Arabidopsis thaliana: one gene and its partners. The protein of the gene in region 1 interacts with the protein of each later gene in a pairwise test. Each region holds a gene or a part of one and is shown in the gene's direction. Other genes may lie near its edges.

Region 1 (3,504 bases):
AAAAAAAAATGAACCAGCTGGTTTCAATTACGTGGCAGATTTTGTTTTTGTTTACATCACTCGCTTTCTCATTCGTTCAGGTTCATTGCAGACTTCCCTCACCGCCGTTATCTTGTCTCTTCTTCTCTCTCAAATCACATATCTTCCTTTTTGTTTTGTTTTTTTTGATTAACTTATTGTTTGTTTTCCCCAGTTGATGGAGAGAATGAACATGAGCGAAGAGGAGGAGCAATGCAAAAGAAACCAAGAGGCATTCAAGAGATTCTTCGAGCAAATCCCCAGGACTGCGGTGATAGGCATGCTTTCCTTCTTCCTCCACGGCCAGATGAGTAAGTTCGAGAAAGCTCCAAGCAAGCCTCTTTCCAATGCTTTCGCCTTCGCCTCCGTGGGCTACGTTGTGTTGCAGGTCGCACACGGCTTTGCTCGAGCTAATCGTCCTTCATCTTTCGCTTTCGACTTCCTCTCTGTTCTCTGTGGACTTGCATCCGTTGCCATTCTCTTCACTGCCATCTTCAACGACTGAGTCAACCCCCAAGTGAGTTAGGGTTCTTTTTCTCTAAATAAAAATGAAATAAAATCTGAGATTGATGATATGTTTCTTCTAGTTGAGTCATTCCAGTTTTTTCATTTCTGTAACGAATCTATGGATTTATGTTAAAACCCTAATGTGAAAAACCTTTTGGTTGATCATCATCCAAGACGGCATTTTTTTTGTGTCTTTTACTAGCGAAGCATCTTGATATTTTACTCTAGTTTTAGGTACTAGGATCGGTTTTCTACAATCGGATTCCTGATCGATTATCAAAACCAATCAACCTAGAACTGGTTCAGCAAAATTTCAATTTTTTCTCTTCCGAATGTTCTAGAATCCCTCCATAAACAGAAATTTGGACTTATTCGAGTCAAATCCCTAAAGGTGTGTATGGGCTTTGTAATAGTTTGGCCCATTATTCCGAATCATTTCCTTGTTAATTGAGTGTATTAATAAATGTTTTGGACTGGTTTGTACCAAAAAATAAAATAATGTTAAGCTTAGAAGATTAGAAGATATACAATAAACTTTCCAAATCGGCAACAAAACAAAGTATTTGATATTGGTTTGATGTGTTTCACGACCATAGAACAAGACGGTACATTATACTATATGAATGTTGGCAAAAGACAAGTTTTTATGTTTAGTTACGTTTCTCTGCAAACGAAGATATTTTTTAGTTTGATCGGTTTTCTACAAACCGGTTCCAAATCAATATGATCCCATTTTGGTTTTCTCTTCAGAATGTTCTAGAATCAGATGAGTGGGACTTGTTGAGTACAGCCGTATAGGTTGTTTGGGCTTTATGAAATCTTTAGGCCCATAATTCTGATCCATTATATTTCCTTTTCTCCCCTACTTGTAAGGGTTTATTCTGGATTACTCATTTGCCTTATAACAATGGCTTCTTCTTCCGAAGAGATTGTGTCCGCCGGCGAATCATCAGAGATCGAGGAAGCGGTTGCGAGTCTAACCATGTCTTCTAACAAGATTTTGTTGACGAGTTCCGATGGCGAGTCTTTCGAGATCGACGAAGCGGTGGCGCGTAAGTTTCTGATCATAGTGCACATGATGGAGGATAACTGCGCCGGTGAAGCAATTCCGCTTGAAAATGTCACCGGGGATATCCTCTCCAAGATAATCGAGTACGCGAAGATGCACGTCAATGAACCTAGTGAAGAAGACGAAGACGAGGAGGCGAAGAAGAATCTAGACTCGTGGGACGCTAAGTTCATGGAAAAGCTAGATCTGGAGACCATCTTCAAAATCATTCTCGCTGCCAACTACCTAAACTTCGAAGGACTTCTCGGTTTCGCTAGCCAGACGGTTGCTGATTACATCAAGGACAAAACACCAGAGGAAGTACGAGAGATTTTCAACATCGAGAACGATTTCACGCCTGAAGAAGAGGAAGAGATTCGCAAGGAGAATGCTTGGACTTTTAATGAGTAATCCAACTTTAGGGTTTGCAGAATTTCGTTTCGAATTGCACAATTTAGGGTTTCTCTTCTCCCCCCTCTTAGATTTCGTGAATGGGTTCATCTTTTCGTTATCGACTTGGTCTCAAGTAATATTCTTTGTAGATTGACCAATGTTGTTCTTGCTCTATTAGCGTTCTAATTCGATTCTCGATCTTGTTCAAAAGCCTAAAAAAAATAATCAGTGTGTTCTTCTATTGTTCTTCAATTGAAAACGAAGATACTAGTAGAACCGGTCGTAAATCAATTCTATTATCTGGCCGGTTATCTATTTTAGTTCTCTCCAGAAAATTTTCAAAATTCTAATTAGTGGCAAATGAATGATCGACGCGTGTATGACAGCGCTCATCGAGAGGACCCACTCTGTGCGACCATCTTTGTTGTCGTTGACGTATTGGTAAGGATTTGGGCTTTGTGAGAATCACGGGCTCATTTGAATGCATAATCTTATTAATGGGAATTTTGGACATCATGGTACTATTTCGTCGAACACGACGAATTTAAGGTTGACTTATCTTTCTTTTTTTTGTCAACGAATATAAGATTGATATTTTTAACAATGCATAAGTTAAGATAAGAGTTACAATCTTGTAAGATTAGGTTAATAAAGTAATTATGTTATCTAAAAATAGTTAGACACGCATAGCATTTGTGGTATCAAAAATTCCTCTGCACAGAAGAAGAAATGTCTCTGATAGCAAGTGAGGAGACAGGCTGCTCTCTGATACGGGATAAGAGGATGGAGGTTTGCTCAGTTGCAATATCTAGCCTCTCCTTCGATTTAGCCGATTCTGAGACCAGAGTCGAAACCAGATTCTGCAGAAGCTGAACTCTCTCTCCATGATCCTCAGCGTTACTTCTGAACGTCTTGCTAAACGACGTGCTGATCCTGCGCCACCTAAGTGGAAGATACCTATCAGGGACCTGAAAACAGTTTCCTGTGGAGAGAACACGGAGTGCGTGCCTGCAGAGAAACCCAGAGAACTCAAACAGTTGGCAACTGCAGCTTATGATGCCTTCTTGAGGAACCCAATACACTTTTCTTCCTCCATCGAGTTTTGTGTGGTGCCTCACGAGATACCCCTCATCCATCTGGAACGATGCGTAGTGAGCAGCAAGCACAAGCTGTTCTTGGAGCTTGGAGAATGCAAAAGGAGTGAGCACCGAGGCTGCGTGAGATTCCATGGGGGCGCCAGTTTTTAGGCTGATGTTTTGGAGATTCTGCTGCATTGTTTGCTGTTCTGTAGCTTGGTCTTTAAAATCCACAACAACAGCCACCTGCATATTCACCCATAACTCAAATAAGCAAAAATAGCAAACTCAACACACGTACAGTACCATTTCATGAGATTAAAATGCATAAACCCTATAAAATAAATGCTTGAACAATTACTGCATAGAAGGCCTAAGAGCTTGAAATAACTCATTTCACTAGCAATGAATAAACACTGTCAGAAGGAGAAGAGAACATACTTGTTCTACAAAGTGAGCTAG
Region 2 (4,959 bases), on another chromosome or scaffold:
CCTCATCCAGCTCTTTCCTCAGACATTTTATTCTGTTCTGAGCATTGAAATTATTCCCCTTTTTCCATTTACCAATGGCTTTCCTGCACTCCACTAATCCCATCATTGATGACGACACTTCTGAAGAAACAATCTCATTCCAAGAAGAACGAATAGCTTCTGCACAATTAGGATCATCTGCAAATCTTTTATCAAAATGAAATTGACCACGAAAGACTTCCTGATCATTCACAAACTTTACAAGAACAGGCCTATGATCTGAACCCATTTTTTCAAGAAACCATTGATGTGATTTTGGAAACATAGAAAACCAAGCCGAATTTCCAAAGCATCTATCTAATTTGCAGTGAATCCATTGATCATTACGAGTTCCTCCCCAAGTGTAACTATTCCCTGAACTTCCTAATTCATGCATGTCACACCAGCTAAGCATATCTTTGAATGGTTGAAAAGAAGAAGACAGTCTAGAAGGGCCTCCTAACTTATCTTGATTAGATGTGATATCATTAAAATCACCTATCATACACCAAGTTGATTTCCTGAATTCACCAATAGAGCATAACTTGTCCAAAAGCAAATATCTGAGACTTGCCATTGGATTCCCATACACACAAGAAACAAACCAACTTTGAGAACCTTGAATCACTTTCAAATCCAAAAGATTCTTGTCTTCATACAAAAACTCAATTTCTAGGTTATTTTTCCAAAAAAGAGCGAGACCTCCACTTTTGCCTTCTGGTTCTATTGTGTGAAAATAATCATATCCAAGCCAAGTAAAGATTTTCATAACAAAAGGATCACAATTCATGGTCTCCATGAGGAACAAAATATCAGGAAAATGATCTTTTTTCATTTCCTTTAAGTATCGAATTGTCCAAGGATTCCTCAGTCCTTGGCAATTCCAACTAAGGACGCCCTATTGATACTGCGGCAGTTCACAAGGAACCACCGTAGAGTCCACACCCTTATTATCTTGAGAAATCCCAGAACCAACAGCTTGATTTCTTCTTTTAGCATCTGTGTCACCTTGAACGATGAAATTTGCATCCGGAAGATTTAAGTCTTCTCTACCAAGTGACTTCTTTCTCAAAGTGTAAACTTTCCTTTTTCTTGGATTTTTCTGCCTAATACTTAACCCTGACGAACTTGCTTCCTCTAAAGTAGTTTTAGGATCAGAAGATAAATCCATTTCCAAAAATCCAGACAAAGCTTCAGATTCATGACTCTTCCTTAGTTTAGCTTTGAATGGAAAAAGACCTCTCTGTAATTCCTTAGATAACTCATTCAAAGGAGCAGGAGAGGCTGGATAAGGAGAAGAATCCTGAGCATCCTTCTCTCTCTGCCAGTTAAACAAATCCCTATTTTCATTACTTCCAACAGGAACCATAGAGGGAGACGGAAGAGATAGAATCTTGGGTCTAGTTTCTGAAACTAATTCTCCTGTCTTTAAACCTGCATCTCTGATAATTTTTTCAAAATTTGATTTATTTCTTTGCTGAGAAAACGGACAATCACCTTTCTCATGAGTCAGACGTTGGCAAAGAAAACACCTCTTCCTGATTCTTTCATAATCAAAAGTAACTGAGACAACCTCACCAGTTGGAATCAGAACCTCTTTACAATTTCGTAAAGGATTTCGAACATCAAACAGTACCTGAACTCTGACATAATCCTGAGCTTGAGACTTTTCTAAGTCTAATTCCACTTTTAAAACCTTACCAACACAAGACGCAATCTCCTTAATCGTATCAGATGTGTAATAGTTGACAGGAATATTCCGCAATCGAATCCAAACAGGAAGAAACATCAGATAATCCTCTTTTGGTTTCTCCACCCATCGATCCATTATCACACACCATTCATCTTGAGTCCAAACTCCAGTTTTTAAAATTTCAAGTAAATCATCTTCCGATTTAAAAAGAAACTGAAATCTTTCTTGTGAAAGCGCAACACCTCGAACCCTTGAGTAAAGTCTCCAGATTCTGGGCATGTCCAATATCCAATTAGACATCCTTTGATGAGAAGGGTTCAGAAATCTTCCTAAAAGACTGCAGTTATTCCTTTCTATTGAGCAAAATTTTTCTTGATTAGGCAGAATCAGAGGAACATCCTCCATGATGGACAATTCTTGTATGGCTTTATCCAAATCCAGATTCATGATACACAAATGAGCAAGACCCTGACCTTTTCTAAGAAGAACCACTTCGAGAAAACCAACTGAACTGACAGACTACACCACAGCTTGATAGAACTGAACTACTCTGAAAACAAACTTCTACAAAGAAGAAAAACGGATGAAACCACGAAACAACCTTGACTAGCAACAAAGCCGACAGAACACGGAGAAATCTTCGGACTGTGGATCCACTCTATCCCAGACAGAACTAGTGTAGAGGGAGAAGTTTTTAACCCCAAGTGGATTGGGACGGCAAGAGATCGGCGAATCTTATCTTTCTGATTGGGACGGCAAGAGATCGGCGAAACTTATCTTTCTGAATGAGCTGCTATGAAAGAGAACTCTGCGTTTTTTTCCAACAGACTCACATACACAATCTATAAAGTATGTCTATTTCTTTCGTTTACCGGACGAATTTAGAAAGAACAAAATAAACAGTCACAAATTCCAACCTGTCGTCGTCGTAGCCCCAAACCCTTTCTTTCTCCGGCGGAACAATCACGAACTCAGGCGAATCCGATGGATAGAGGAAAAATGAATGTATCACTCCCAACTGATCTCATTCGCGAGATCTTCGCGAGATTGCCTTCGAAGTCAGTGGCTAGGTTTCGTACACTGTCCAAGCAGTGGGCGTCTATACTTCGCAGTACTGATTTCACCAAGCTGTTCCTGAGCAGATCCTCGAATCGTCCACGTCTCTTGTTTGCTGTTGAACGATACAAATGTAATGAGTGGCAATTTTTCTCATCGCCTCAGTCACAGAATCGGTATGAGAAATCAGCTCATTTAGAGTTTCATAGCAAGTTCTCAGGAGATGTTAGCCACTACATTTGTAGCTATGCCTCAGGTTTGCTCTATTTTCCTGCTGTGCATATCGTTGATACTGAGACGATTGTGATTTGTAACCCTATCACCGGAATGTATACGGGCTTACCTGTGATCATGAAGGACAGAAGGTCTCGAGGCTTTTTAGTGTTTGATCCCGTTGATAAGCGATTCAAGGCTTTTGATACTCATTTCATTCTAACATTAGGATCTGGAGAACTCAAGTGGAGGGAAAAGAATATCCCTTGTCCTCTGTATGAGCGTTGTTCTTCGAATCAAGGGATATGCATTAATGGGGTTTTGTATTACTTAGCTAAAACTGTCTTAGTTGAAACAGTTTTTGGATTGACGTTTTTGATAGTTCGCTTTGATGTTAGTTCTGAGGAGTTCAAGTTTATTGACGCTGCCCGCTTTAATGATCGTCTAAAGGATCCTACTAGATTGAGTTTGGTCAACTATATGGGTAAATTAGGTGTGACTGATTGCAACTGTGTTGACGCTGGTGGAAGACGTACCGTTGAGTTGTGTCTGTGGGTTCTAGAGGATGTTGAGAAACTGGAATGGGTGAAGTATGTCTACACTCTGCCTGAGAATGAAGTCCTTGCTTCCTGCGAATTTTCAGTTGCTGGAGTGACTGCTACTGGGGATATTGTCTTGTGTATGAAGTATACATGTAAACCGTACTATGTGTTCTACTTCAATCCCGAAAAGAAAACTCTGCAAACTGTTGAAATCCAAGGCTTTGGAGCTAAGCTTGAAGAGGTTGAGAATCGTGGTGAAGTTTTTGCCTATGTTGACTATGTAGAGGATCTTAGTCTAAACGATGCGAAGCAACTCAAGTCAAGCATTTCTCATGTCAAGAGTCTCTGCCCCTGCTGTCAAAAGTTAGTGCAGCCTGAAAACATCGGGGAAGTGGTATGATGATGGTGTGAGTAGGGAGAAGAAATGAAAGATACATCAGTGAAGATGAAGACATAAGAAGAAGAGAAGATTATAAGAGAGTAAAACGATGAGGCAAGGAATAAGAAAAAAGCCATAGGGCATGTCATCTATGCGTTTATGTTCTTTAGTTAATAGTAGTATTATAGGCGTTGGTAAAAGTCTGTGCGAGTCAAATCTAGCACTCGTAAAATCGTACGTACCTCTTGACTATCTTTGGTTAATCTAGTTTTCATATATAATTCCATCTCTTCAGTTCTAAATCAATAAAACATACATAATTGTAGAGTTTGATGCTGTCTCTCTCTAGCACATTTTTTGCCTTGTTACCATCATCAGGTTGAGGTCTCTGCAACTCGGATCCATCTGTGAAGAACAAGCGCAGCAGAACAGGTATGAGTATTTTGCTAACCTAGAGAGTGGACTGGTGTTGATTTGAGTTTCTAATCTGATCTTTCCCAAATTAAAAAAAGTCAAGACTTAGTTTCAGAAAACACAAAATGGTAGCTGCAGGTTCACCATAACTGGTTACTAAAACGTATTTGGTCTTTGCATATTACATAAGATTATAGTTAGGCCATCGTTTGCTACAACATATCTACATACCGACTTCATTGGCACGCGAGAACAAACCAAAAGTGGCAAAAAAGAAGAAGAAGAAGAAGAACAAATGGCTTTACAACGGCGTTATGCATGCCAATAGCTTAGCGCAGACTTCACGTACGTCTCGAGAAGGGTCTGACAAAGATGCTTTGGACAGAACTGATCTTGCTTCGAGCAATCCCTCTGAAATGTTTTCCAGTATCACGTCTTCACTCGCCATCAGTGATGCCATTAGTTTTGCGCCAGCCAGCTTTTCCTACGCAACAAGAGAATAATGTTTGACTTCCGCATAACCTTAAATTCAAGGCAGTCATAAATATTCGAGTTCAGATGTGGATAGATGCAGACAGTTTCGGATATGGATTGTGGGATTCAGAAATGTCGACAGTAGTCACTTGAGAAAGGAAGTTTCATGT
Region 3 (5,187 bases), on another chromosome or scaffold:
TTTTTTTGAAAGAGTTAATTTGAGTAAAAATTCATTGGCATTTGTAATTAATTTATAACCATTGTTTTCGGTGATTTCAATTTTCTTTTGTACTTTTATGTAATATTATGATGAAACTTACAGAATTACATTTTTTTAGCTCTTAACTTACTAGTAAAATGAGGTAACGTTACGTAAGCTAAACAACATGGCAAATATCGAAAACTAAACCATCTAGGATTTTAATTATTGTTATTGATGGTCTTTTATTTTTCAGATTGGTTGGGGATGTTTAGAATTATTTTTCATTCTTTCAGTCCAAAATAGAATAGTAAATTTTGTTTGACTTTAATCATAAAACGGTTAAAGTCGTGTTATTGGGTCGTATGGTTTGGGACATATATATCAGACCACCACACCTATCTTCTCTTCATGGTATGTGTAGGATTGGTTTCGGCAGAACCAGAATAGTTCGGATTTTGAAAATGAGGATTAACCGAGTATCGAGACTAGGTTTAAAATTTGATGCTTAGAACTTCCTGCGTAGAATTAAAAATTTGCTTAAATTTCTAAAAGATTGGGAGTTAGAATTCTTTACGAAAATAAATCGTTTAACGGTAAACGAAGGAAATTATCCGGTTCGATGATTCTAAAGAGAACTCTAAATTTAGTTGAATGGAACGGACGAACGGTTAGTCTTTACCACACAACGTGAATGGTTTTGGTAGATCACGTTATGTTAGTATCTAAACAATGTTTAACCGGTTTTGGAAATTAACCGGTTTTGCCATTCCTAAAAATTCTAAACTCTTCTAGAGTATTTTCCCACTGGTTTATGTGAGAGTGACCAGAAAAAACTCACAATTTTCAAAACCCGACGGGAAAAAAAATTATGGAGCGTAATCGTATTGCATGATAGACTTGAAATGGAATGCAGATCTAGATTTTGTAGTGGACTTCATCATGAGCTATGTATAAGTCCATTCAAAAAGCCCAAAACACCTCACCTTGTGTGTTTAGAAGACAAAGAGAAAAATTGTAACATCTCATGCATTTAAATGATTTCGCATACACGTTACTGGTACTTACCATTCAAAGATAGAGAGACATTCATTACATTGTGAATCTCTAACTAAATTAGTCAGATATTTCAACACAAATCTGTCAGCTCGATTTATTATGTAAACCCTCACCCCCTTCTCCATCGTTCCCGCCCACAATTAAATTGACATTGCGGTGGTTCATCTAATCTGTTAGTCCATAGCATGTACATTACGTTTAATATCACTAGAGAAGATTTCTAAAACAAATTACACATTCTTCATTAATTCAGTACTCAAAAATACAACTGAATAGCACGAAAAGATACTTTAAAATCTACTGTTATAAAATGATCATTGAGTAGCTATGTTTAGTCGTGTAGTTAGTTTGTGCTAGAGTATTCATATGTATGGATTATTATGTAAGGTTATGAGATGCTACAATGAAACCCTCCAGACATTAATATCTTGGCTTCTCCTTCAACCACCTCGTGGAGAGATCTTCAACCAACGCCAGTGGACCCATTGGAACTTTTGATTCAACCCTCTCTATTTTTTTTCCTAAAAATAGAGATACATATAACTTTAAAAAAATTGAAAGTATTTCCTAAATATAGAAAATACAATGATTCAAGTAAGCGATATTAAAAAAATGTTTTTGGGACTACTACATTGTCAAAATTTATTAGATTTTAATCATCATGAAAATAACTATTCAATTCTTCAATAAAACTCAAACTCAAATAAACAATTCAAAATAAATATTAACAAAAAAAATTCACAAAAAAAATAAAGATTAACAAAAAAATGAATACAGATTTACTTATTTTTTGCAAAATTTTCAAAATATCAAAACAATCATAGAAAAAACTTAAAATGTTATATATCTGAATAAATTTCTCCCCAAAAGTTTTGTATAGTTTTTTCTGCAAACAAAAAAATATTTTAGTCATTAATTTCTTTCAACTTTACCTTACATCACATCTTCAGAAAATGCATATCAATTTTAGGAAGTCAAAAAGAATAGTAATACGTAATATAACCATTTTTAACTCTATCACTTAAAAATTTAACGGTAACATATATTAGATTTTTAAAATTCTAAAAATAGCCTGATTAAAAGTATACATTGCAAAGAGTTCGATTTGATAAATTTTACAAACTTGACCGTAAGAGATTATATTGCGCATTACTTTTATTTTAAGAAATTAAGAAATGAAGGATAAAATTATAAAAATATAATGATTTTTCTATTTTTATTTTTGCAGAAAACATTTTTGTAACAACTTTGTAATTATAGATCATAATACTAATAAAGTTAAAAAAAAAACATTTCCAAAAATATCGCAAATTCCCGGTCACACATTCTCCATCATTGCACTTTTCACGCTCTCTCTGTCTTCCTTCTTCTTCTTCTTCAACAATCTTCAAAGCAAAAGATCAACAACAAAAAAATGTCAGACAACAATCCAGAAATCGAATCATCAACCTTCAACAATCTAAACATCGACGTCACAGAATCAATCCTCTATCATCTCCCAATCCCTTCCTTAGTCCGTTTCACTCTCGTCTCCAAACAATGGCGTTCACTCATCACCTCTCTTCCTCCTTCTCCTTCTCCTTCTCCATCATCACCACCATGGCTCTTCCTCTTCGGTATCCACAACACTTCCTCTTTCCACAACCAATCCTTCGCTTTCGATCCTCTCTCCAACACCTGGCTCCGTCTCCCTCCTTCCTCCTCTTCCTCCGATCATCTCGTCGGATCTAATCGCTTCCTCTTCACCACCGCTCCTCGCTTCTCCTTCTCACCAATCCTTAAACCTAATTGGCGATTCACTTCCCCTGTTCGATTTCCTCGAATCAATCCTCTCTTAACCGTTTTCACAACTCTATCTAACTCATCCAAACTAATCCTCGTCGGTGGATCTTCGCGTATCGGCGGATTAGTCGATATCGAAGAACGATTAGCTGTTCAAATCTACGATCCTGTTCTCGATTCATGGGAGCTTTGTTCACCACTCCCTGCTGATTTCAGATCTGGTCAGGATCATCAAACTTTGACCTCAGCTTTGTTTAAGAGAAGATTCTATGTTTTCGATAACTATTCGTGTTTTATCTCGTCGTTTTGCTTGGATTCATATACATGGAGTGATGTTCAAACTCTTAAACCACCAGGACTCTCGTTTGCTTACTTGAATTCTTGTAATGGTATGCTTGTTCTTGGTGGAATGTGTGGGTTCTCGTTTAATCTTTGGAGTATTGAAGAAGGCTCGATGGAATTTAGCGAAATCGCGGTTATGCCTGAGGATTTGTTGTTTGGATTAGTTGATAGTGATGATGAGGATGACAAGTTTAGGAGTTTGAAATGTGCTGGCTCTGGGAATCTTGTTTATGTGTTTAATGATGATTGTCATAAGAAATTTCCAGCTTGTGTTTGTGAGATTGGTGGTGGTGAGAATGGGATATGTAGTTGGAGAAGAGTTCCTTGTTTGCCTTCTCCGGTTAATAAGTTTCATAAAGTTGTTAGTTTCTGCTCAACGGTGTCTATTACCGATGTTTTCCACCCCGAGGAAGCTCGGATTGGCGGTTCGATCCGTGGTTGAGTTTGCTTAGGTATGTTCCTGGTATGATCATCCACACCCTTATCTTTCATTATAATTGCGCTTTCACTAGTATTAGATGAGATTGTCTTCTTGCATTGGCTTTGTTGTTTTGGTTATGGTAAAACGACAATCAACATTCTGCGTTAGTTTCATGAGAATCCATTACTTATCCATGGGTACACAATCTCTTGTGCCAAAATAGGCAAAGATTGAATATTGATAGGTTTTACATTCAAACAAGAACGTAGCTATAGCTTAGTGTTCTTGATACGGTTTCTGTGTACTTATGTCTTTGCATTTTGTGACTTGGCAGTGCTAATGTAAAGTGGAGATGAAGGGAGAAGATTTAATAATGAAGTGTATAAAAATGGTTATCAATTTATTATGGTAATCATGTAATTAGACGTAAACTGGTTTATAATTCTTCGTTGTATGAATCATTTACATACATACACATATCTACAGAATCATTAAGTATTGTTGTTTGTTTATAAATGAGTGTGTTTTCACAATCTCTTATACCAAAGCAAGCTAACATTTATACGTTCTAATGAATTCTATTAAGTATTGTTGTTATTTTTTGGTGAACATATAATGAAAATGTTGATCAGCAATCGTGCTTCTTAACAAGACTCCCATCTTTGACCAAAGCCTTTGGATGTTGATCGCAATCGTGCCAGAGTTAACTTCCAGAGGATATACATTGTTTGGTTTCTTCATTGTTTTTAAAGCCGATTTAGGCTTTCATAGAGATTAGGGTTAATGCAAGAGGTAGAAGAGATGAGTTTAGGGACCTAATAAAACTTACTCTCATTCATGTTTTTTCTCACACCAAAAGGTGTGTCGTTTATAGAGATTTTATAATCAGAATTCATCATTGTTACCAAAAATCAGAAGAATTTTTATGATCAAGAATATATATTCTTGTTAAACAAAAACCAGCCAACATTATTCCACTGGGTTCATAGGAAAAAGAACCGAAAAAGAACCGATATTTAGAACATTGGTTTGGTGCATTCCTGAAGCCTACTCCAACTAAAGAACTAGATACCTTGTTGGATTTTAATGAAACTTGGAACATAACTGAGGAGAAATAGGTTATGAGATTCGTATGGAGCAACATCATGATTCACTTCTATATATTTATCCTCTCCCACGATGTGTATGGTGTTGGAAAAGAAAGAGTTACAATACACTACTCTGTTCTCCTGGTCGATCAAGAAACTGATCATCCCAAAACAACGACGATAGTAGATACCGCTTCTCGTTACTGTTAGGAACTTTGCCCATGACAAGGCTCCGGTACTCTGAATCTTAGTTGCTATCCATACATGTATATCTAGTTAACATACAAAGTTGTTGCTCTTCTCTAGTCACTGATAAAACCAAATAATGATAATGAGTATTAGCATCCTCCGAAAGAGACAAACATTGGAATGTCTCACTTGTGTAATCAAAACATAGTAAAAAAGAACGCCCATGTTCTTCATCAAACCAGTAAGTATTTCCCTTCATAGACATGCCACTTCTGGTCTGAATCAGTGGTATGAACCAGCCGGTTT

What was found.
Region 2: the proteins of SK18 (region 1) and AT3G57580 interact in a two-hybrid assay, tested with the Arabidopsis thaliana proteins (one large-scale study listed by BioGRID).
Region 3: the proteins of SK18 (region 1) and AT3G24760 interact in a two-hybrid assay, tested with the Arabidopsis thaliana proteins (one large-scale study listed by BioGRID).

Annotation. Positions count from the first base shown.
Region 1 is NC_003070.9:3,354,168-3,357,671, forward strand, and holds SK18 (E3 ubiquitin ligase SCF complex subunit SKP1/ASK1 family protein), read left to right. Parts: upstream 1-1,507; coding exon 1,508-1,984; downstream 1,985-3,504. Other genes in the region: AT1G10225 (transmembrane protein), read left to right, coding at 197-523; FRS11 (FAR1-related sequence 11), read right to left, coding at 2,668-3,288, 3,484-3,504. UniProt on the Arabidopsis thaliana protein: Involved in ubiquitination and subsequent proteasomal degradation of target proteins. Together with CUL1, RBX1 and a F-box protein, it forms a SCF E3 ubiquitin ligase complex. The functional specificity of this complex depends on the type of F-box protein.
Region 2 is NC_003074.8:21,319,763-21,324,721, reverse strand, and holds AT3G57580 (F-box and associated interaction domains-containing protein), read left to right. Parts: upstream 1-2,342; 5' UTR 2,343-2,695; coding exon 2,696-3,922; 3' UTR 3,923-4,231; downstream 4,232-4,959. Other genes in the region: AT3G57570 (ARM repeat superfamily protein), read right to left, coding at 4,617-4,799.
Region 3 is NC_003074.8:9,037,635-9,042,821, forward strand, and holds AT3G24760 (Galactose oxidase/kelch repeat superfamily protein), read left to right. Parts: upstream 1-2,379; 5' UTR 2,380-2,473; coding exon 2,474-3,625; 3' UTR 3,626-3,635; exon of another isoform or gene 3,636-3,646; intron 3,647-3,938; 3' UTR 3,939-4,459; downstream 4,460-5,187.